3 linked regions of the Oreochromis niloticus genome follow. The protein of the gene in region 1 purifies or fractionates together with the protein of each later gene. This does not show direct contact. Links are inferred from orthologs where the notes say so. Each region holds a gene or a part of one and is shown on either strand. Other genes may lie near its edges. The genes, in order: ptp4a1, cnnm1 and cnnm3.

Region 1 (7,731 bases):
TAGTGATATTCCTCATATCATCAGTTTTTAAATCATTCGCTCGACTAAAGAGTCAATAAATTAAGCTAGATAGCTTCGCCCATGGCTATTTTACTGACATCCCACTGCCTCTGGTTGGCATATGCTACTAATCTGTTCTTGTGTGTATTTCCCTTTCAAAGGAAGGAGGTACTGTCTGGTAGCTCTTTTGTAATGTGCAATTTCTTCAAGTTTGTGAAAAAAGCCAATTATTAAAGGAATCAATTGATTTTAGTGACCAATTTTGTCCAATTGCCCAACCTTCTAAAGCACACAGAGTAATACACCTACATACGTCAATTCCTGTAATCTAAAACGATTTTGAAGTCATTGCTTTCATTGGCTGAAACATTTCCAGGAAAGATTTAAACTGTGGTGGTTTCCAAAACATTTCTCAACATGTAATCACCAGTTACGTGCTTCTCCAATGTGGGCTTCAAGTAATATACACTCTGTAATATTATATGTAAACAATTGACCACAATTTGGCTCACCTCTACGAACTTGTTCAGGGTGGCGTTGGTGGGATTGTGGGTAATGAGGAACCGCATGTTTTTGTAGGTAATCTCCACAGGGGCTGGTCTGTTCATTCGAGCCATTGCGACAATGCGAAAAAATGTATAACAAAACTAAAATGTCTTCCACAGAGTAAACACTAATGTAAACAGTTAAACTCGGAGGGAATGTCAAACAAATGTCCAACAAGTTTTGAGGAACTCGGAAAGAAAAAAATCCTCCAGTCTTCTTCGAGGTTGGCAAGGCTAAGTGTCAAAATAAAATAAAAACAAAACACCCCAAAAAAGAACAGTAACAGGCAAATTTGGGAAGTTGGCAGCCGAGAAGGGCGGACAATTGGAAAAGTAACTCAAACCCTCTCCTTTGGAATAAAACAAAAGAAAAGGAAGAAAAAAAAACCAAGGCTGGTTCCACCTTGATTCTGGCCAGGCGGAAGCCGACGAGGGCAGTGTGCAGCAGGTGGAGTTACCCCATCCAGGCCGAGTTATCGCTGGTTCTGGGAGGAGTCCCGGTCCTGCCAACTTTCCGGGGTCCCTCCTGTGGCTCAAGTGCGTTGGATCGATGGCGAGTTTGGCTGTTCACTCGTCTGCATAGGCAGCGTGCTGAGCCTGGCAGTAGTCCCCACTGCCCTTCAGAAACTCCATAAATGTGTGACCCAGAACACCACAGAACTGCTGCAAGACACAGAGGGGGCAGGAGGGAAGAAAAGCTTATTTTTTATTTTTTAAAAACATCTTTAAAGAACACAAAAAGCACAGGCAACTGTTCTCAGTGTAGTTCAATTAATTTGCAAAAAAGACAAACTTTTACTGAGAAACAGTTTTTACTCACATTCTATTTGGAAACTGTCCCTCATTCTTTTCCTAAGGCACAATAATCATGAAATGGAAAATCTGATATTGTGACAACTCTAATCCCCAACACATATCCATAAGCCCCTAGTCAAACATACCACTCCATCAGAGTAAAAGACAAGGGGATTATATCATAGAGGAAGCACAGGGACAAAGTATAGACCTGGATTCAAAGCAGCCGTGAAACAAGTGAGAGATTTCCAGTAAAGTCATGATCCATTCATTTTTAAAAGAATAAAACAAATTTCCTCATTTGAATTTTAGAATTACCTTCAGACAACAGTACAGAGTCTGGCTAGAAACACAGATTTAGGGTGTAATGACAGTAATCGAATCCCACAGCTACTCTTTTTTTTTTTTTTAAATTATACCAAGTTTCACACTCAAGTATGTCATCAGCCACATTAACATTAGTGTCTTTAATCTCCAAACAGAGTGTCTGGGGTTTGATTCCCATGCAGAGAAAGTGGTGTTTCAGATAACACAATGATTAACACAGCAGAGCAGACTGTACCTGCCAGTATGTTACATAAAATCACACTGCAGTGCTGCCCGCTGTACAACAGAAATAAAATATATAACGTGTCATTTCTGACATCCAGGTCGTATCTGTGCTCGAAGGCTGAGCTCACCGTGGGGCCTTCAGCGGGGCTTTAACATACACGCTGTTATGATCGTCAGAAATCTGACTCACAAATGCTTTCTCTGCCATTTCCTCCCTAATGCTTATGCCCTTTACTCCTCACAGAAGCTCGATACCTGAGCGCTGACTTACTGGAAAGGTTTTCTTCATCTTATTGTAGAAATAGTAAAATCTAAGCCGGTCAAGCATGCTTTGTTAATCTGCTATTTTCCGGCGGAAAAGCAGCATTTACTTAGAAATATTACCAAGCACTTAAAAGCCACTGCCTAACTAAAAAGACAGTGATTTGTAAAGATAAGAGAGGCGTGAAGCAAAGCAGAAGTGGCTTAAATAGCAGGCATGTCTCTGCACTGCATTACAAGGCTGTAAAGTGTCCTTTGTGTGAGGATAGACCGGGCGCCATCATATAACATTAGAGGCCTATAGGCGCCGTCGGGAGCTGTGACGGACTGCACGTTGCTCTGAGGTGACAAAAAAGACTCCCGACTCAGACACTGGGCAGGTAGCCAGTCTCGCAAACCACTAATAACACGTCATTTACGTGTTTCATTTATTTCAAATAAATATGCATCGATTTTAGACGGCAAAAACTTCGAGTGAAGAGCCGGGACCAGCCCGAGCTGCGCATCCGTCAGCCGCTTCCTAATCGTGACGATTATCATGCAGCTCTAAGATTGCACTCAAATAACAGGACCAAATCCATGTTCTGTGAATTTTCGTTATAGTTAAATGAAAGAGGCAACGTTAAGCAATGGCATTGTGGAAATGTTAAACTGGGTTTTTATCGAGCAGGCCGTGATTTCATCGAAGCAACGTGAAGGCCAGCTGGTAACAGTTCACCGTAACGTACTGATTTACAAGAGGAGCCTAGGAGACGAAACCGAGAAACAAAATGGCAGCCACGAAAAACAGGTTACTTACTGGGATATGCTTACTCATTGAAGATTGTAGCTTAATCATACAGCCGGTCCCTAGAAAAAGGTAAAACTATGAAACGGTTTTCCACCATAAAATCCTGTGCTGTTTCTCCGAGCGGAGCCGAAGTCTCCTGATCTGCCGGGAAAGAGCTAGAGAGAGAGAGAGCGCGCGAGAGCCCGAGATACTAACGTAATTTCCTGTCAGGACTTTCAATATAAAACACTGTTCAGTATTAAATATACACCACATTTTCGGTTTTTACTAAAGGTTTCTGGTAGCTGAATTAAATGTATACTTTTGTAGCAATATACACTATGTGAGCATACAAACAAAAATATTCAAAATCTTAAATAATGAAATGTTTAAAACGTCCCAATGTGTAAATGTCTTGATGGATGCTCATGCATCATGCTCCCATTCACTCGTTTACAGAGCTTTATTTTGAAGCTAAACCGAACTTCCTTAACTCTTTGTATTTCTTTCCTTTTGCCTTTAGCTTGACTGGTCTCGTGAAACCCCACCCTGAAAATGTGTAGTGTTATGTCCAGACATCTCCCTGTCTCCAGGCTGCAAAGGTCAGTTGGTGACTGTGGACTAAGTCGTCCTTTACTTCCAGAAAATACACAAGGACAGAGGATGCCCGAAATCACGACACCATATAATTATACATGTGTGGTTCTTTTGACTTAATGTGAACAGACCTTTGTGTAGATAAATTTCATAACTTGAAATGGAAAGGAAAATTCCAAAATTAATTTCTGAGTTTTAAAGCTTGGGATGGGATAACACCATGGTGCAGTGGTTAGCACTTTTGGCTCACAATAAGAAGGTCCTGGGTTCAAATCAACCGTCATATTTACAGGGTGGTAGAACTACATGTACTAATGGAAAGGTTGTTGGTTTGATCTCTGGCTCCTCCAGTCTGCTACTATTCCAGATACTAGGCAAGATATTGAACCCTGAGTAGCTCACGATGTGTTCATCGTAGTTTGACTCTTTATAAATCTTAGATAGAAAAGGGGCAGCAAGGTGGAACCGTGGATAGCACTGTTTCTTCACAGCAAAAAGGTCTTGGATTTCAATCCAACATCTGGCCAGGGCCTTTTTGTATGGAGTTTGCATGTTCTACCCGTGTCTGTGTAGGTTCTCATTGGGTACTCTTTTTTTTTCCTCCCACAATCTCGGGACATGCAGTCAGAGGGGTTAGGTTAACTGTGGATTCTAAATTGTCCGTAGAAATGAATATGAGTGTGGATGGATGTCTGCCTCTTGCCTTATGGCAGCTGTATTAAATGTTCTGTTAAGTTAAATCCATGTGATAGTCTACAGCAGGGGTGGGCAATCTCAGTCCACGAGGGCCGGTGTCCCTGCAGGTTTTAGATGTGTCCTCGAACCAACACAGCTGATTTAAATGGCTAAATTAGCTCCTCAACATGTCTTGAATTTCTCCAGAGGCCTGGTAACGAACTAATCATGTGATTCAGGTGTGTTGACCTAAGGTGAGATCTAAAACCTGCAGGGACACCGGCCCTCGTGGACTGAGATTGCCCACCCCTGGTCTACAGGAACATCTAGGACAAGCATGGGTTAAAAGTTCCCAAATCCAATGGAATACTCAGCAAGAATTCGTAAAAAAACCCCCCCCACAATAGCTGAGATCCTGTGGGAGTGCAACGTGCAAAGAAACAGCCGCTGCTGAAAACATAACCAATACGTTATAATGGCCAACACGGAGAAGGTATTCGACTACATCCCTCAAAGTGCCCTGGTGGGAAGTCCTTCTTGAGCATGGGATACTTGGTCTATTCACACTCCATACAACTATAGTGATTGCTTTGCATTGCCACCAATAGCTGAGACTCAACTTGTGGTCATTGGACTCAACCAGGGGTGCCCTTTCTCGCTGATATGGTTCATCATAGATACGTTGGATATGTTTAGACCTCAAGAAGCCTGTTAGGTGAGAGGTAAAAGTCTTCAAAAAACTTAAAAGTAGTCCAGTCACCTTCTTTTTAAGATTTAAGATTTTTATGAGTAGAATTTCTAGTCATCCAGTGGTAGTTTTAAGAACTTGAAAAGAAGGCAACTAGACTTCTTTAAGTTTGTGAAGATGTTTCACCACTCATCCAAGAGATACCTCTAAAGAGGAGTCTTGGGTGACGGGTTAAAAGTCTTCACTAACTTAAAAGAAATCGAGTTGCCTTCTTTTTCACTTTCATGGGTTACATTTTTTCCACATATCACAGTACTTTGGATTTCACTGAAAAGTCAACTAGGAAACAGTTTTTGGATTTCAATATAATAATATTATTGCTTTAAAAATTTGAAAACGGTGTAAAAATATGAAGCACATTTTTTATAAAATTATCAAGGAAAAATAAATCGAGAATTAAATGTATTGTAGATTCACCACTGTCCTACCTTGTCATATGATCAAATCTGCTTTGTATTCACTGGATGGTGTCTTTGAATGTCCACCGGTAAAGTTTAATCTGTCTGCATAGACGTAAATCACATGATTTTCTTCTCTTTTTGCTTTACTCTTGATTTGCATCTGTACAAAAGCTTTGATCAAAGTAGTTATTTCTTAATCTTTTATAAATTCCCTGTTTAAGAACAAGAGCCAGATCATTAACCAGCGCATTAAACTTAATGCTGAGAGGATGTGAAGCTGATCTGTAGAGCCACTGAGTCATACTATTTGATGAGTAATTCTTAAGTCATCAGGATCTAATTCTGAGTCATCAGAATCGAGTAAGAGGAGCACCAGAACAACTGAATAACTACAACAGGTACAATAATCCCCACTAAACATATACTGAACAAACCTTCTTTTAAGGTGGTTTATGAAATTGGTTAAAAAGTAATTTATTATTGATTTACCCTCATAGTATATAGCTTATTTTGGGTAACTTTAGTTTTGACTTATTTTTCAGCAAGTAAATTAAAAGACTGATTAACTATTACATGATATGGATTCCCGTTAATTACTTGAATAAACTGGAAGCTGACAGCAGTTAGTTAGTATATAGCAAGTTCTCAGAACATAAAAACATAATGTACATGAAGGATCAAAATGTTAGTAATAAGCAAATAATAACATTTACATGGGAAAGAAAATGCATATTTTCTCTTTATGTTTTCTCTTTAATTAGTACCAAATTACATATTTTTGTCCTTTGAAATTGTTGGGAAGTTTCTTGTAAAAAAACTGAACCTTTCTAGCCTTTAAGTCATTGAATAGGGTCATTCATGACTCCAGCAGTATATTTATATGTGCTGTTGTATCATTTTAATTGTAAAAATATTTTCCATCATACATTTTTCAATCTACTTATACAACCTTTCAGACTTTTAAAAGAAATTGGCTTATTAGTATGGTAAGAATAATGGAAGGTTCTAACCCTGGAAATATGTGTGTCTGTTTGTGTTTAACATTATAGGCTTTGATTTGATTGCAAAGTTCCACTTCTAATCATTATACTACATTGTGATGTGTCACAGTGAACCCTGGCTAACATTGTTTTAAACAGGTAACAAAAAATAGAAAAACAGTTTAAAAAATCCTGATCATGATGACTTCATCATAGCCCAGCATTGATTAAGGTATCATCAAGTCACCCGTTCATCAATATTTTGTGGTAAAATACATATTGCACTCAAACATACCTTAAGTTTTAAAATGAATTGTCATAAAGATTATTGAAAAAAGTAACAGACATGAATTATCTAAATTAATGTAGATTTTTTAAATCAAATTTGTGTTTTTTAACTATTAGCATAATTAATGGTAGCAATAGCCTCTGACAGTGAACACATCTCTATGCTTGTCCTACCACTAGACCTCAGTGCAGCATTCGATACTGTTGACCACAATATCCTATTACAGTGATCAGAGCATGCTGTAGGTATTACAAGTACTGCTCTACAGTGGTTTGTATCATATCTATCTAATTTGTTGATATAAATGGAGAGTCCTCTTCACACAAAAAGGTTAATTATGGGTAGTCCACAGGGTTCAATGCTAGGACCAATTCTGTTTACATTAAAATTGCTTCCCTTAGGCAGTATCATCAGAAGACATAGCATACATTTTCACTGCTATGCAAATGACACCCAACTTTATTTAACCATGAAGCCAGACAACACACACCAATGAATTAAACTGCAGGAATGTCTTAAAGACATAAAGACCTGGATGGCCGCTAACTTTCTGCTTCTTAATTCAGATAAAACTGAGGTTATTGTACTCGGCCCTGAAAATCTTAGAAATATGGTATCTAACCAGATTCTTACTCTGGATGGCATTACCTTGGCCTCCAGTAACACTGTGAGGAACCTTGGAGTCATTTTTGACCAGGACATGTCCTTCAATGCACATATTAAACAAATATGTAAGACTGCCTTCTTTTATTTGCGCAACATCTCTAAAATTAGAAATATCCTGTCTCAGAGTGACGCTGAAAAACTAGTTCATGCATTTATTACTTCCAGGCTGGACTACTGTAATTCTTTATTATCAGGATGTCCTAAAAACTCGCTGAAAAGCCTTCAGCTGATCCAAAATGCTGCAGCAAGAGTCCTGACAGGGACTAGAAAGAGAGAGCAGATTTCTCCTGTTTTGGCTTCCTGTTAAATCCAGAATTGAATTCAAAATCCTGCTCCTCACATACAAGGTCTTAAATAATCAGGCCCCATCTTATCTTAATGACCTTGTAGTACCATATCACCCTATTAGAGCACTTCGCTCTCACACTGCAGGCTTACTTGTTGTTCCTAGAG
Region 2 (7,054 bases), on another chromosome or scaffold:
GCTGGATCGATCCATGACAACTCAGACAACGTGGCTGCGTGCGTAATGAATAAAAGAACCTCCAAATATTTTAGAGGAGGGCACCCATACAGATCGATGTAGACGACAAGCAGGAAAGGGTTCTTTTGTACCTCAGAAAGTCCAGCCATCCGTCTCTGATGATCGAGGGGTCCAGTTGCAGAGAGAGGAAGTTTTCGTTGAGGACTCTGATTGAACTGCGGGTGTTGACATCCAGGAGAACCAGCGTCCTCTCCAAGAAGCCCTGGCGCTTCCCAGCGACTGCAGGTCTCTGATACGTAGAGGAGGAAGAGAGCACCGACTGCACCATCAAAATAAGCAACGATGCCAGCCACAGGGAGGGCCATGGGAATACGCGCGGAGAGGATTTGGGCATCTTCTTGGTTTGGAGAGCAGGGGGATCAGTGTGCGCAAAGAAGCTTAAAGGTGGGAAGAAATCAAGCACTAAACAAACTCTGCTGCCGAGGAGTTCGATGGCGGTTCTATACCTCGGTCTCATCGATCTGGATCTGTCTTCCTGTCTAGCTGTCTCACCCCCCGCCTCTGCCCCCCCGCCCCTCCGAGTATTTTTGGGAGCTGCACGCAAGAGCGCACGCCCCGAGCCAGCCTTTCCCGTTGTGAGAGCTAGAACTGGGAGGAGGAGAGAAGACAGCACCGCCCCTCTAAGGTTCTCCGAGGTATGAGGACAGACTGCTCGAAAGTTTTCCCAGTTCACAAGTATAAGAATTTAGTCTTACGAACTATGATTGCAGTTTTTTTTCCTAAACACCGAATACAGAGGTTATTGTTTTCTGAAGAAACTGACATGAATCTTTGTTTCTTAAAACGCTGCTATAATGGTAAAATCAAAATCAGATTTTGTAGAAAACTCAAGTTCAGTCCAGTAATTAAGCTACACTCAAATATCAACAAGTAAGAAGAGTACATATTTAGAAGCGATTAAGTCCCTCGGGCGAGGATAAAAGGCTTTTTTCCTTAAAAATGATAAGCCATGGCGGCTGGTCCTTTCGCAGAGATAATGATCAATCTTTTAAAAAAAAAAAAAAGCTCAAGAAAAGCAAAACTTGGATTAAATGTATGCAATACTGTCATATGAAAAAAATAATTTTAGAATAACTATATTGATAGCGAAATGGGAGACTGTATAAAGATCTTCCAGAAGTTGTGCTTAAACTCACCTAAACTCAGGCTGACCGTACGCAGGCCTCTAATCGCCTGGCTAAACTGAAAATCTCAGTTGTACATCATAGTAAGAAATTATTACTGCAGAGACTGACTGAAGGTCGTTTTCGCCCGTTTTACGTCGTATTTCTTAAACTAAACGTTCCAGCAAAAAGTCGAAAATATTAAACGTAAAAGAATCTCGAGGCTGTTGTTCAAAAGAACAAAAATTCAGCTTCAAAACAAGAACAGATCTTGTCAGCAGCATAACTCATGATCATTGCAAAGGCTCTGCTTTCTTGACAAACAGATTATTGATTGCACATTTTAAAGATGGCACTTGGAGATGCCAGTCTGGATATTTGGCCTCTTTTCAGAAGCATTCAAAACCAATTTGGGATGTAAGTCTCTGCACATGGAACTTACCTATAAATTCTTTATATGGCTTTAGACCAGATGTTCTTGGGACACTTGTGAGCAAGCACACACCAACCAAGGTGCAGGCTACTGCGCTTTCCCCCCCCCCTTTATTTATTTTTTCCAGGGCGCAGTGCGCCAAGCTCTCCTGGGGCGATCAGTGTAGCGAACGTTGGTCGTTTAAGGTCACTGCTGTCTCACAGATGAGCAACGAAGTGCTTAAGAGAAAAAAATGCACAAAGTTAAGCTCAATTTTATCGTTTCTTTCCGGTATACAACACCTACTCACGAATCCACGAAGCCACAACACAAAATCATCCAAGCAGTCAGCTCTGTAGGTTTAGGGACGCAAACGGTCCCCACAAAGCAGATTAAAAGATCATCCTTTGATTTTATATGGTACAAAGTGGGCTGATATTTCTTTGTTTAAATGCACAGCTTAGTGTCGCTTACGAGTGTCAGAAACTCTAAAGTAACGTTCTCTGTGGGGTGGTAGCCTGTATTCTCCGGCCTGTTAGAAGAAGCAGACCCACGGTCAACATGAGCAGCAGAAAAGCACAAAGTCTGATTTTCCGCATTTCTTCATATTGTCAGTTGGCGCCGATAACATCATAATTAACATGTGCTTTCAATTCAACCACAGTTTTAGTTTTCAGTGGAAAAATATTTAACATTTTCATATAATTAGATCTCAAATGCGTTTTGGGACATCTATGTCACCCTTGAGGATATTTTTTTCTAAAAGAAGGAAAAAGGAAACTTTAGCCTATCGAAACAGCACTATCATATAATATTCCAAGAGGAAATGGCATGGATAATGTGGATTAGTACGCAGGGAATTTTTTGTCTATTATATTTCCTCTTTGCTGTTGTTTTAGTGAATGTTAGACCACCTTTAACTCCTTTACGGCTTACCGATCGACTGTACTGCTGAAATTTGAAAACGGTTTGGTTTGTTGTTTTTGGATTTGAAACTCTAATTTAAATCATATAAAACAGAGCGGTGACTTTTTACACTCTCAGCTCCTCCACGGGCCGGTATAAAAAGAAGTGAAAAATGCACAAGTTATATATAAAGTTATGTTGTTAACTTTAAGCTGTCAGTGGAAGAAGAAAAACATTCTAGGAAAATATTAAATCAGTTAAACATATTCGGTGAGGAAAAATAATCTGCTACTACTACAATAGACTAGTTCTTCGATCAAATCTAACCTACTGAAATTTCGGATTTAATAATTTGAAGGGAGAGTTTAGTCATGATGTGCGATAATGTTCTCGTTGCTTCTTTTGAATGTAAACTTTACAATAGTTTGTTCAGGAAATGATTCGCAGCTTTAATTAAACTGAGTATTTTTCTGTCTGTTTTGTGTTTAATGTTAAAGACACTGCTGCTGTTTAAAAATCAAGATCTGTTGCTTCAATCGTGGGAAATTATTGCTCTGTGAGGGGAAAAATTACTCGGCAACACTGATCGCAGCAGAAAAGCAGCATGAGTTATATCATTCATCCAGCAGGGTGGCTGAATAAAAGGATAGAGCATACAGAAGTTTAAAAACTTCCTAAGCAGAATTAGGTTTAGACAAATACACTGAATCGTCAGAGCATTTTCGGTGACTTTTGTTGGGCGGACTCAATGGTTGGCTTTCTTTAAGATTTATTTTACCGCCTGCAATGCGTTTATTTTGATCGATCATGAAAAATATCTAATGTAAAACATATAGTCGACATATTTATACATCAGCAGAATCTTTAACGATGCGAAATTTTTTTATACGCATATATTTTTTGGTTTTGTTTGGCAAACTATTTAATGTGTAATTTTATCAGGAAAATCGTCTGTCGATGACTTTAGGATGACAGTTGGAGTGACAGTTTTACAACCTGTTTTGCTGTTTTTTGTCGTCTGAGTAAAGCGTGGCAATGACTGTTTGCCCTTTGCGCCTTCAGTTTTCTGCATCGTAAATCCCACAAACCGGTCACCGAACTGAGATGCGTTAGATCTGAAACAGCTGATCACTGAACGGTATATAATAATAACAACAACAACAATAAAAAATAATAATGGTGATAATAATAATTATAACTATAGTAATAATAATAATGATCTGTGGGACTTGATTGTAATTGTTTTATTTACAACTTACTTTGTTTTTACAAAAAAAATCCCAACGAACAAACAAGAACAATCCTCTTCATGTCAACATTAAACGTCATGGAAGTCAGTAAAACGTTGTTCCTTGTCATATAATATTTCCAAAGTATATAGAAGGTAAAAGTGATATCTATAATATTTATATATACATATATATATATATATATTTACATATATATAAAATGTGTGAGTGTTGTTTTAAAGTAGATTTAGAGACAGCGACATTTTGTTTTAATTTGTTAAGGGATGCGGATACTAAAACACAAACTATTATAACAGAGATTTTAGAAACACATTACATTTATGTGTTTATGCTTAAAAGCCAACAAGTACAGTTTTTCAAACTGTACTACACCGAAAACAGGTGGCGATGCTGCCATCTAGCGGGGAGTTTAAAATAAATAAAAAAATAACTAAAAATAATAATGAAATAAGAGTCTGAGCTCTGCACTAACGCACAAACTGGCACACAACACAACATAGCATTTCTTTCTATTGATTTGCTTTCTTGATACACATCCCAATCTTTTTTGTATTCAGCTTGTATCTCCTTACTATTTAGCAAGTAAATATCTTCCTCTGGCGTAGCTGTAGGTGCTCTGTCGCATGAATCATAAATGATTGGGCATTTCCTGCTTTCTATTTATAGAAAGCGGCAGAAAGCAAAAAAGCGAGGCTTACGTCAGGGTTTGTCATTTATATTTAAGGTGCCAGCCCACAAACACATACACACATACGCACACACACTTGAATTCCTCTCTGCTCTCTCTCTCCGTGGCATGTTACCCAGCTGCTCCATCCATCCCATCCGCAAACCACGTGACCCAGTTCTCCCGTGTCCTTCAGCGGCTCATTCAGCATGATGGCTGCGGATGCTGCGGATGCTCTCTGCAGCATCCTGCATCCGCGCCGGCTCTCCCTCCTCTTTCTTACCGTCACCATCTCCTCTCTGCCGGCCAAGACAGCGGCGCTGCTCGGTGTCCGGCCTGAAGACACCCAGAGCGGAGAACTGTCCGTGCAGGATGGGATATTGAGGGCTACCGAGGGGACCCGCTTCATGCTGAGGGTTTACTACTCCGCTTCTCCAGCTACCGAAAATCCCAACTTCCTGAACATCAGCGGCAGACCGGACGCAGCACCTGCCGCTCCGTGGATCGCGTTTATAGAGGAACCAGGTGGGGACAGTGGAGATGCAGAAAGTCCGCTCCTGTCCAGGGGGAATCCATGCGAAGAGGAGAATGCCCGGAGCTCAGACATCGAGCTGCTGGGTTCCTTCAGATCCACCTCAAGTCATAACTCAGTCTTAGTGGAGCTGCTCGCCAAAGACCTGCGCAGAGACGAGGTGATCAAATACTACTCCATGTGCGCGTTCGATGGAGTGAAATGGGAGCACTTGAGCACCAAAGACTTCTGGTTGGCTGTGGTGGAGAGACCTCCAGAGGCAGATGCTTGGCTGCAAGCAGGAGTCTCTGTGCTCTTGCTGGGGCTGTCTGCTCTGTGCAGCGGGCTGAATATTAGCATGCTGTCTCTGGACCCGGTCGAGTTGCGGGTCCTGCAGAACAGCGGCACAGAGAAAGAACAGAAATACGCGCGAAAAATAGAGTCAGTGCGTAAACATGGCAATTACATCCTTTGCACTGTGGTGCTGGGTAACGTGCTTACAAACACGTGTTTTGTGGTGTGGATGTGCCAGATTTTAGGAATGACCGCTCTCTCCACTGCCTCATGCACTCTGGGGATATTTTTTATTGGCGAGATTTTACCTCACTCAGTGGCATCCAGGCACAGTCTCGCCATCGCATCCAAGACCCTGTGCGCGACCCGCCTGTTGATGCTGATATTTTTCCCCATCGCCTACCCGGTCTCCAAGATTCTGGACATTATGCTGCACCAAGAAATCAGCAACTTTTACACCAGGGAGAAACTGGTGGCCATGCTGCGTGTCACAGACCCCTACCACGACCTGGTCAAAGAGGAGCTCAACATTATTCAGGGAGCCCTGGAGCTTAGGACCAAGACCGTAGAGGATGTGCTGACACCGCTGTCAGATTGTTACATGCTGTCCTCAGATGCTGTGCTGGACTTCTGCACCATGTCAGATGTGATGCAGAGCGGTTTCACACGCATCCCTGTTTATGAGAACGAAAGGTCCAACATTGTAGACATCCTTTTTGTCAAAGATTTAGCCTTCGTGGATCCTGACGATTGCACTCCTTTGAAAACAATTACTCAGTTTTACAAGCATCCAATGCACTGCGTCTTCAGTGACACCAAGCTGGACGTGATGCTGGAGGAATTTAAGAGAGGTAACTCGCTTCACTTTAAATCATATCAGAGGTTTGGTCTCTGCAGTCTCCATATCTCCCTGTGTGTCCTGTCTAGGACCTATACACAACTTATGAGTAAGAAGTCAGCTGAGCATGTGAGGCACCATATGTTTTAAAGCAACCTCCCACCAGTTAGGAGTTAAATGTTCTTTGAAGTGACTGTGCACTTAAGAACTACATTTTCAGTCCAGAAGTCAATGTATACATCAGCCCATTGGCTCAAAGTGGGCCTGCCAGTAAAGCCCTTTGATCCCCAGAGCAGTGAGAGACATATGTGAAATCTGATACTGTGTCACACAGTGTGTTTGGTTCAGCTAGAGTTTAGAGGCTACCATAATAGGGTTATCTTAAGAATTTATGTGATGAGAGAGATTTAAGTCGTTTTCCCATGACAACACTGTGAACTTCATCTGGCCCCATGCTCGGTACCCCATTTCTATGCAAGTATCAGTTATCGGCTCCTCACTTAAAATGCTTGAAATGCTAAACTGTATCAAAAAAGGAATTTTGCACGATTTGCCTACACCAGAATTCGTCTTTCTCTCTCCTCTGATAGCCATCTTTGCTGATAAGTGAATTGACAGTATTGCCGCACATGCAGTGATAGCATCTGTTTACTAGAGAGGAAAAGTGCATTGCCTCTATTTAGGGACTATGTTCAGCCTTGGTAACATTAAATATGATTCCGATTTAGTGCTCAGTAGCGAAAACCTCTGACTGCTCGACTGACAGTGTCACACTGTAAAATAAAGACACACGAGAAGCCACTGCCACAGCTGTTATGCAAGGATGGAAATCTGTTTTATAGACAAAGAAAGGGCAATACATGTCAGCTGAATGCAGCTGGCCTTGGCAGGGTAATGAATTATGTTGCCACTTACAGTTCAGGAGGTCCACTACACTTCACCGTGCCTGGGATTATGAAATATAGCTTTGGTCTGGCACAAGTGATCCATGAGCTCACACTTGACCTATATGT
Region 3 (7,673 bases), on another chromosome or scaffold:
CTACAGATACTCTGTTCAGATGAGGTAAATGCTGCCATGTCAAGTTTTTATGCCGTGTTTTTTTAAGCTGTTAAGTGAGTGTCGTGTTGCTGATCCCACCTCTCTTCCTCATAAATGGGCACACGGGTGTAACCACTCTGCATTATCTCAGACATAGTGGAGAAGTCTAGGACAGCCGAGCTAGGCAGCATGAAGCAGTCTTTCAGAGGTGTCAGGATGTCCTCCACAGTCTTAATGCGCAATGTCCCACGACTGAACTCCTCCTTTACAAACTCACTACAAACATAATGAAGAAAACAACTAAGTCAACAATCAAGTCAATTATCAAATCTTCTAGGCTAATCTTTAAGAACCAACTTCAAGTCAGGTCTCAAATCCTACAAATTTAATGCAGACTAGTCCTAAAAAAAGTCTATTGAACCAAGTTCAAGTCGAGTCTTAAATCTTTTGAAAATGAGTCTGAGTCCAGTCCCAAGACTTAATCTGTCTAAGGTGTTAATACAGTTAGGCCAATACACACATCAACCCTCACTTTGGATAGTCCAGGTAAAATGTAACGTTCTTTTAAAGGCAAGTCAAACTGAAGTCTCAAGTCTTCAAGAGTCTTGAGACTTAATCTGGTTCAAGCATCAAATTTTTACAGTGTTAGGCCAGGTCAGGTTTCAAATCATTACAAGGCTACTATGGGGTCAAATGTGAAGTCTGTTAAAAAAAACAAGTCTAAATTTCAAAATACTCTCAAGACTTTTAGGTCACGTGTGATTCAAGTTTCAGGTCTTTCATGGGCAAGTGTTAAGAAGAATATAACAATTGTGAAGTCTTTAAAAAGAAGTCCACCCTCAGAATAATCTCAAGTTTTTTGGACTAATCCAATTTGAATATCAAGTGTTTAGAGATCTAACCAAAGACAACCCCTAAAAAGTCAAGTCTTTCGGGTTCAAGTTACATTTCAAGTTTTTACGAATGATGTTCCTGTTAATCATTGGTTATGCGAACAGTACAAGAATGCAGTGGCCAAAATCACACAAAATGCTTCTGTTAAAGTAAACTGGCATTAATCATGAATCAAAGCATCTTAATGTGTCAAACATTTTAATCAAATATTAAACTCAAACTTAGCAAAAAGAGTCTGTGTCTGGAACACTAAATTGTTCCTGTATGTCAGTGAATCTAACATAATGTACCATAAGAATTATGCACTGTAGAGTATGACAGAACACACTTTTTGTTGGTTATGTCCTATAGTGTCTTTTTTTCTAGTTCTGTTTACTCTGTAGGTTCAGAAGCATCATTTGTGTTTTTCTTTCTTAAAAAAAACAAAAAACAAACAAATAGATTGCTTGATAACAGTTTTTTTTTTTTTTTTTGACCAAGTGTCAATACTCATCGCACCTCTATGTCAGATCTCTGTGATACTCTCCCAAGTCCACTATATTTACCTGTAAGGATCATTCACGTTTGCCCGTATCATCTCCATGGCCCTCTCCCTTATCCCACAGGTGCTGATGTCTCTCCTCAGCCCTAGATCCAGAATCAAGCCCAGAGGGCAAGACAGGGGGCAGGTAAGCACCATGCAAACCTGGGCCAGCCAGGTCAGACCAGGCGCTAGCTGGAAGCCGTAACCGGAGCACAAGATGTGAGGAGCCAGCTCAGCTAGGAAGAAGATAAGGAAGCCGCTGTTGAACACCGCAGAGGCGATGGAGCCCAGTGCCCGGTACAGGAGCACACCGAGGACAGAGTGCCCCAGAGCACACAGGAACAACAAAGAACATGCCTGCGGTGGAAAAGACATGCGTTTAGGAAACACTACTTCATTTGCACCTTTCTTTCCCTGTGGCTTCCCCACGTGCTTTTAGAAACTTACCATGAAGTTCCCCCTTCTCCTGATCGGCTCCAGCCGTTTGGCGGCTCGTTTCTCCTCCTCGGATCCACAGCTGTGTAGGACATAAAGCTCGACTGGGTCCAGCCACAAAAGGCTCAGGTTCACCGTCCTCAGCAATCCGCAGATCATAAGCACAAGCACTATCAGTACGGCCAGACCCCACGGCGGGATGTAGTCTGCAGGCAGATCCGTGTCGGTGTTTATTCGCAGTCTGTCCAGACCCGTAGATGTCCATTTCTCTCCACTCCACACACACAGGTGGTAGTATGTCTGCTCGTTGCCAGCTTCCCCCTCAGAGGTGCGAACCTCCACAGTTAGAAGCACGCTGTGCGCATCGTCGAGTTCTAAATTGGTCACCTTTAACTTGGAGTCCTGGCGGTTGGACTGCTGCTCGCAAGGGTCCAGTGTATCACCGACAGCTCCAGCCGCTCCGCCAGCTGCCCCTGCGAACTCGACCGACGGCAAGCTTCCATTCAGATTACACCCGAAGAGACGGAGCTTAAACGTGGCTCCTTTTGGTACTGAAATGATACGACCCTTCATGCACAGCGGATCCACTGGTTCTTCCAGTCGCAGCCCCAAAACCTGCGGAGCTTTCTGGCTGCAGGCGCCGTACCTGATTCCGCAGAACAACACTATCATCAACAGGAACCGTAGACCTGCCAGGCTGGCCACCATATTGGAATTGGTCAGCTTGGCTTTGCCTGGATCACGTGACTTTAGCCCCGCAGCGGCCCCACCCCCCGGGGGGTTGAGCCAACGAAGCAAAACAAACAGCGCAACTGAGCTGCGCGGCGGCCATTACGGTTCCAGACACGCGCGTACAGGCCTGATCCGCGAGTGTGGATGTGTCGTACATCTTGTTTTTATTGCGTCACATGCCTTTCAAGAAGAGCCGAGTGCAGCCTGTAGTGAATTTAAAACAGCGACAGACGCTCGCTCCCATCTTCTGTCACAATTTAAAACTGCATCACTTTGGGCCTCTTCTGTTAAACTAATACAGCTGTCAGTACTGGGAGAAAATATCACTTGTAGGCTGTTTGGACCTTTTTTTTTAGGCGGGCGGACGACCATGATGAGACCAAGGGGAAGCAAAACGGAAAACATGAACATAGGACAAGAACTACCAAAGTAAAACAGGAAACATGAGACAGTTCACAAAGACGCAGACTAACACGAAGCACAAAAACAAATGTAACTAGACGTGGAACCAGTGTTGCCAACTCCTCAGTAAGGAAAATCCCTATTGGTTGTCCTAAAAGTCGCTAGAAGTCGCTAAATGACGTCATCACCTAATTTGCATAATTGGTCATGCTAATGTAATTGTAACCTATGTTGTTGGAGAGAGAAATAACATCGTGGAAGAGACATAAAGTGAGTAAAAAACGTCCTAAATGCATTTAGAGTTTATTTAGAACTACAAATTAAATTTCTTTTAGCAATTATTGTTTTTTTTAATGTCACAATTCCAACCCTGCTCCTTTACCCGGGCTTGGACCGGCAAAAGTGGCCCGAAATAGGCACTCTGGTGGAGTTACTTTGTGTGTGTGTGTGTTTATAAGTAGTTTTAAACCTTGTGATCCACAAAACAGCATAAGAGTAAAAGAGTAAAAGAAGAACTGACTGTGTTACAGCACCCGCTGCTTGTTCAGAGTAAAAGCGATACGCGCTTTCACGTCTTTTTTAGCGACTTTTTAAAGAAAAAAAGTCGCTAGGGGGTCTGAAAACTCGCTAAATATAGCGACAAAGTCGCTAAGTTGGCAACACTGCGTGGAACATAGTTTTTGTCTGTATGTCATCAAATGAAAAATACAACAACTGAACAACCAGCTGTTAAGTAGCTAGATTCATTCCACTCCAAAAATCCAGTAGCTGGTCTCCTCAGCTCCCAGACGTTTACAGACTGTTGTCAAAAGAAGAGAGTGGTAAACATGTTTTATATGGGTTAATATTTCCTGTGCTCTTTAAAGATATTTAACCACCATTTGATGTGGTGGTTGTAGGTTGTAGGTGTCATAAGGATTTGCCTTTTAGATAGATAGATGCTATAAACGCCACCACTGTCACGTGAGCATTCAGGTGAAGCCCTGGGTTACCTTAGCGAGTTGATAACGAGCTTCATGTGACCATTTATCCTGATCGCGATTGTTAAGGTAAGTGAATCCAGATAACATAAAGATACCCTGAGTGTGTTGAACGAGATTTGTGACATAGGGTCCAGGTTAGGTTCCAGATTAGAGATTACCAGGTATAAAATCACCAGTTACTAACCAATCAGGTCTCCAGAAAGTGGTGCGACCACTGGAAGATTCCTTGGAGTTCTCCCGGAAAAGCAAGAGGATCAGTAGTGTCTAAAGTCTTTGTATTTCCTTGATGGTACTATACAGAGAGCCTCAGATGCAGCTTTACTGCTTGATTTTTTTCTGTAGGTAGCAGTTTTTCAACAGTATTGTTATTCTATAAACGCTAATATATTCTAACATAGGACAGAATCCTTGCTGAACTCAAAATCATACATAGATTAAGCTTATGTTTGAATTCTGTTTTTAAATTTAATCCTCTTTTTATATTTAATTCAACAGCATTAACTCCGCAACTGGAAGAATAAAAATAAAACTTTTGGGACTACATTATGTTATGTCTGGAAGTGCCATGTTTTACTGATTCTTTTATTTGCAACGTGCTAGTGCTTTATAGAATGTTAGCTGAGGCAGGGTGGGACCGGTAATATGGGTCAACAGTGCTACACGCAGCCCATTGGTTCATTTTCATTACCGACACTGGATTGCCCAATCAAATCTTTCAGCGCAACCGGCCTCTCCCGTACCTTCGCTGTGCCCTTACCCATCTTGTAAAACTGTGATAAGTGTGGAAGAAGTAGCGAAAAGGTGGAGCTAAAAAGCTGAAAGAGAAATAGAAACTAAAAATAAATGCAGCAAAATGTTTAACCGACATGTAGAATATGTGCTGCATCGTGAACTATATTACCCAGTAACAACTAGAAACCAGGCCTCACAGAGCGACAGAACAAGGTGTAATCAACGTGGTAACCAAATTGATAGAGGGACATAATCAAGGATTCAGGTAAAATGCGTGGATGCTTTGACCATGAGCCATACCTAATAGTTAAAGTGTAGCTTTTAAGTGTCATATGCTGCAGGGCAGTGAAACTAAGAGCTAACCAACAACAACTGGACCAACCTGATTATAAAGAAAGCCTCTCAATATCAATGAATTATGTACATAATCAATATAGATTTATTTTTGATGCATTTTTGTGAATGATCATGATTGGTCTCCTGGACAAAAAATGCCAGGCCCAATTTATTTGTGCCAGACTAGCCCTGCGCTAAGGGGATAGATTTTATGTGTGCAGGTTTGTTAAGCCGTACCTGAAATCACTGCAGCGCTACGGTTTTAATTTGATCATTTAGAAAATGTCATTATGCTCGATTCTAATCTCCTGCTGCTGGGATTGTAACTACTAGAATACAGGATTCACACCAAGAATACCTGTTAAATCAATCAAATTAATTCCACTTTGATCTACGACAAACTATTTCCATGTCTCCTTTATTAGACAATAAGCTTTAATGCTTAATTGTATCCTGTCTGAAATTTTAGAGCTCCAATGTACAGCATTCACCTCAGAAATAATCAGCAGCACTGAGAGTGCACTCGGTGATAAAATAATTAACTTGAATTAAAATGGCTAACCGTTGTTAGTTTTCCCCCAACAAGTCTTCTTGGAACAGCCACTGGCAGGGTGACTGTGCAGAGGTGTTGTAGTCCACAACAGAAGTGGAACACCACCAACTTGTTCATCTGTTTGATAAATTTTTCCACCTTACTGACACACCAGCTGAGGAAAAAACTCTGGTTTTTGGGAACCGTATACTTAGAAATGTGAAGCTAGAAACTCCAGCAACCCTTGTAAAATCCATTCCAGGGGCCAAAACAGGCAACAATGAATCCAATTACAAACTGCCGCCTAAGGATAAGCATAAATAAACATGCAATTCACATTGGCAGTAATGAAACCCTATTACATCAGTCAGAGGTCACTAAAATTAGCACTGGATCAGTGTGTAACTTCTAAAGTGAAATTGGACTCACATTGGAGTTTTGTTTTTTTTTTTGATACATTCTCCATTTTGACTAGCTAAGCGACAGCTAATTATCACCCTTCAACTGCTGGCTGACCAGGTGGTGTCCAGAAAACAATGTAAATTTTCTAGACAATTTTAAGACTTTGAGGAAAACTGAATTTTATTAGAACTAACTTTATCAAACCCACTCTGGATGTTCTAAGTCTGATTTCGAGAAATAAGGCCAAATGTATTAAACTATAACTGTAGTTCAATAAGGACACACACACACACACATATACACTCAAGCCCATAATTATTTATACCCATGGCAAATTTTGACTTAAAGATACTTTTATTGAACCAGCAAGTTTTTTTGACCAGAAATGACACGGATGTCTCCCAAAAGATAAGACTATGTACAAGAGGCATCATTGTGGAAAAAATATATATATTTCTCAGCTTTTGTTTACATTTTAGCAAAAGGTGTCATGTCCAGAATTATTCATACCCTTCTAAATAATCAGTATAGAAGCCTTTATTGGCTATTACAGCAATCAAACACTTCCTATAATTGCAGACCAGCTTTTTGCCCATTCATCTGAGCTTCAAATCTTTCAGTTGCCATTACTGTGATTATGTTCCCTGGTCCATTGCCCGAAAAACACCCCCAAAGCATTAGGTTCCCACCACCATGTTTAACAGTTGTGATGGTGTTCTTTGGGTTGAATGCTTCTCCTTTTTCACACCAAATGAAGGAAACATCATTGTGACCAAACAATTCAATTGTTTCATCTGACCATAAAACAGAAGACCAGAAGTCTTCTTCTTTGTCCAGATGAGGATTTGCAAAGACCAAGCAAGCTTTTGTATGCCTTATCTGGAGAAGTGGCGTCCTACTTGGTCTGCATTAGTGGAACCCAGCAGTGTGCAGTGTCTGCTGGACTGTCTGCCTTGAGACATTGCCACCAGCAGAGCCCAGATTCATCAGTATGGCCTTGGTGGTGATCCTTGGATTCTTTTTCACACCTCTCACTTTCCTCCTGGTCAGCACAGGTGTCACTTTTGGCTTCCAACCAAGTCCACAGTGCAGAACATGTTGTATTTTTTAATAATACTTTTCACTGTAGCAACTGGAACTTGAAAACAATTAGATATGGCCTCATAGTCCTTTCCTGACTTGTGAGCAGCCACAGGTCTTCACTGAGCTCCTTTATCTTAGCCATGACTGTCCACAACCCAACTGCAGAGAGCCGCTGTTTTTCACCTGTAGAGCAGATTAAAACAGCCGTTCCCAATTAATCAGGGTAATTAGTATGCTTTAGAACAGCTTGGACTATTTGGAATAGTCCATTTGGAACTTTGGGTTTTACCAGAGACTTTGTGAAGGGTGTGAATGATTCTAGACATGACACTTTTTGCTCAAATGTAAACAAAAGCTGAGAAATGCACATCGTCTTATTATATTATCTTTTGGGAGACACCTATGTCATTTCCAGTAAAAAAACAAAAACAAAACAAAACAAAAAAAACATAATGGTTAAATAAAAGTAACTTTAAGCCAAAATTTGCCAGGGGTATGAATAACTATGGGCTAGAGTGTATATATATGTATATATGTATATATGTATATATGTATATATATATATATATATGTACACTCTAGCCCATAGTTATTCATACCCCTGGCAAATTTTGGCTTA

What was found.
Region 2: the proteins of ptp4a1 (region 1) and cnnm1 purify together in Homo sapiens (affinity purification with mass spectrometry; 4 studies listed by BioGRID and IntAct, with this or other methods). This does not show direct contact. The link is inferred for Oreochromis niloticus from reciprocal best matches to the Homo sapiens genes PTP4A1 and CNNM1.
Region 3: the proteins of ptp4a1 (region 1) and cnnm3 purify together in Homo sapiens (affinity purification with mass spectrometry; 6 studies listed by BioGRID and IntAct, with this or other methods). This does not show direct contact. The link is inferred for Oreochromis niloticus from reciprocal best matches to the Homo sapiens genes PTP4A1 and CNNM3.

What each region holds. Positions count from the first base shown.
Region 1 is NC_031971.2:5,687,357-5,695,087, forward strand, and holds the start of ptp4a1 (protein tyrosine phosphatase type IVA 1), read right to left. Parts: upstream 3,095-7,731; 5' UTR 2,953-3,094; intron 1,209-2,952; 5' UTR 618-1,208; coding exon 513-617; intron 1-512. UniProt on the Homo sapiens protein: Protein tyrosine phosphatase which stimulates progression from G1 into S phase during mitosis. May play a role in the development and maintenance of differentiating epithelial tissues.
Region 2 is NC_031978.2:18,197,773-18,204,826, reverse strand, and holds the start of cnnm1 (metal transporter CNNM1), read left to right. Parts: upstream 1-4,041; 5' UTR 4,042-4,607; coding exon 4,608-6,054; intron 6,055-7,054. Other genes in the region: hpse2 (inactive heparanase-2), read right to left, coding at 132-517. UniProt on the Homo sapiens protein: Probable metal transporter.
Region 3 is NC_031972.2:10,683,068-10,690,740, forward strand, and holds the start of cnnm3 (metal transporter CNNM3), read right to left. Parts: upstream 3,011-7,673; 5' UTR 2,561-3,010; coding exon 1,865-2,560; intron 1,775-1,864; coding exon 1,440-1,774; intron 277-1,439; coding exon 100-276; intron 1-99. UniProt on the Homo sapiens protein: Probable metal transporter.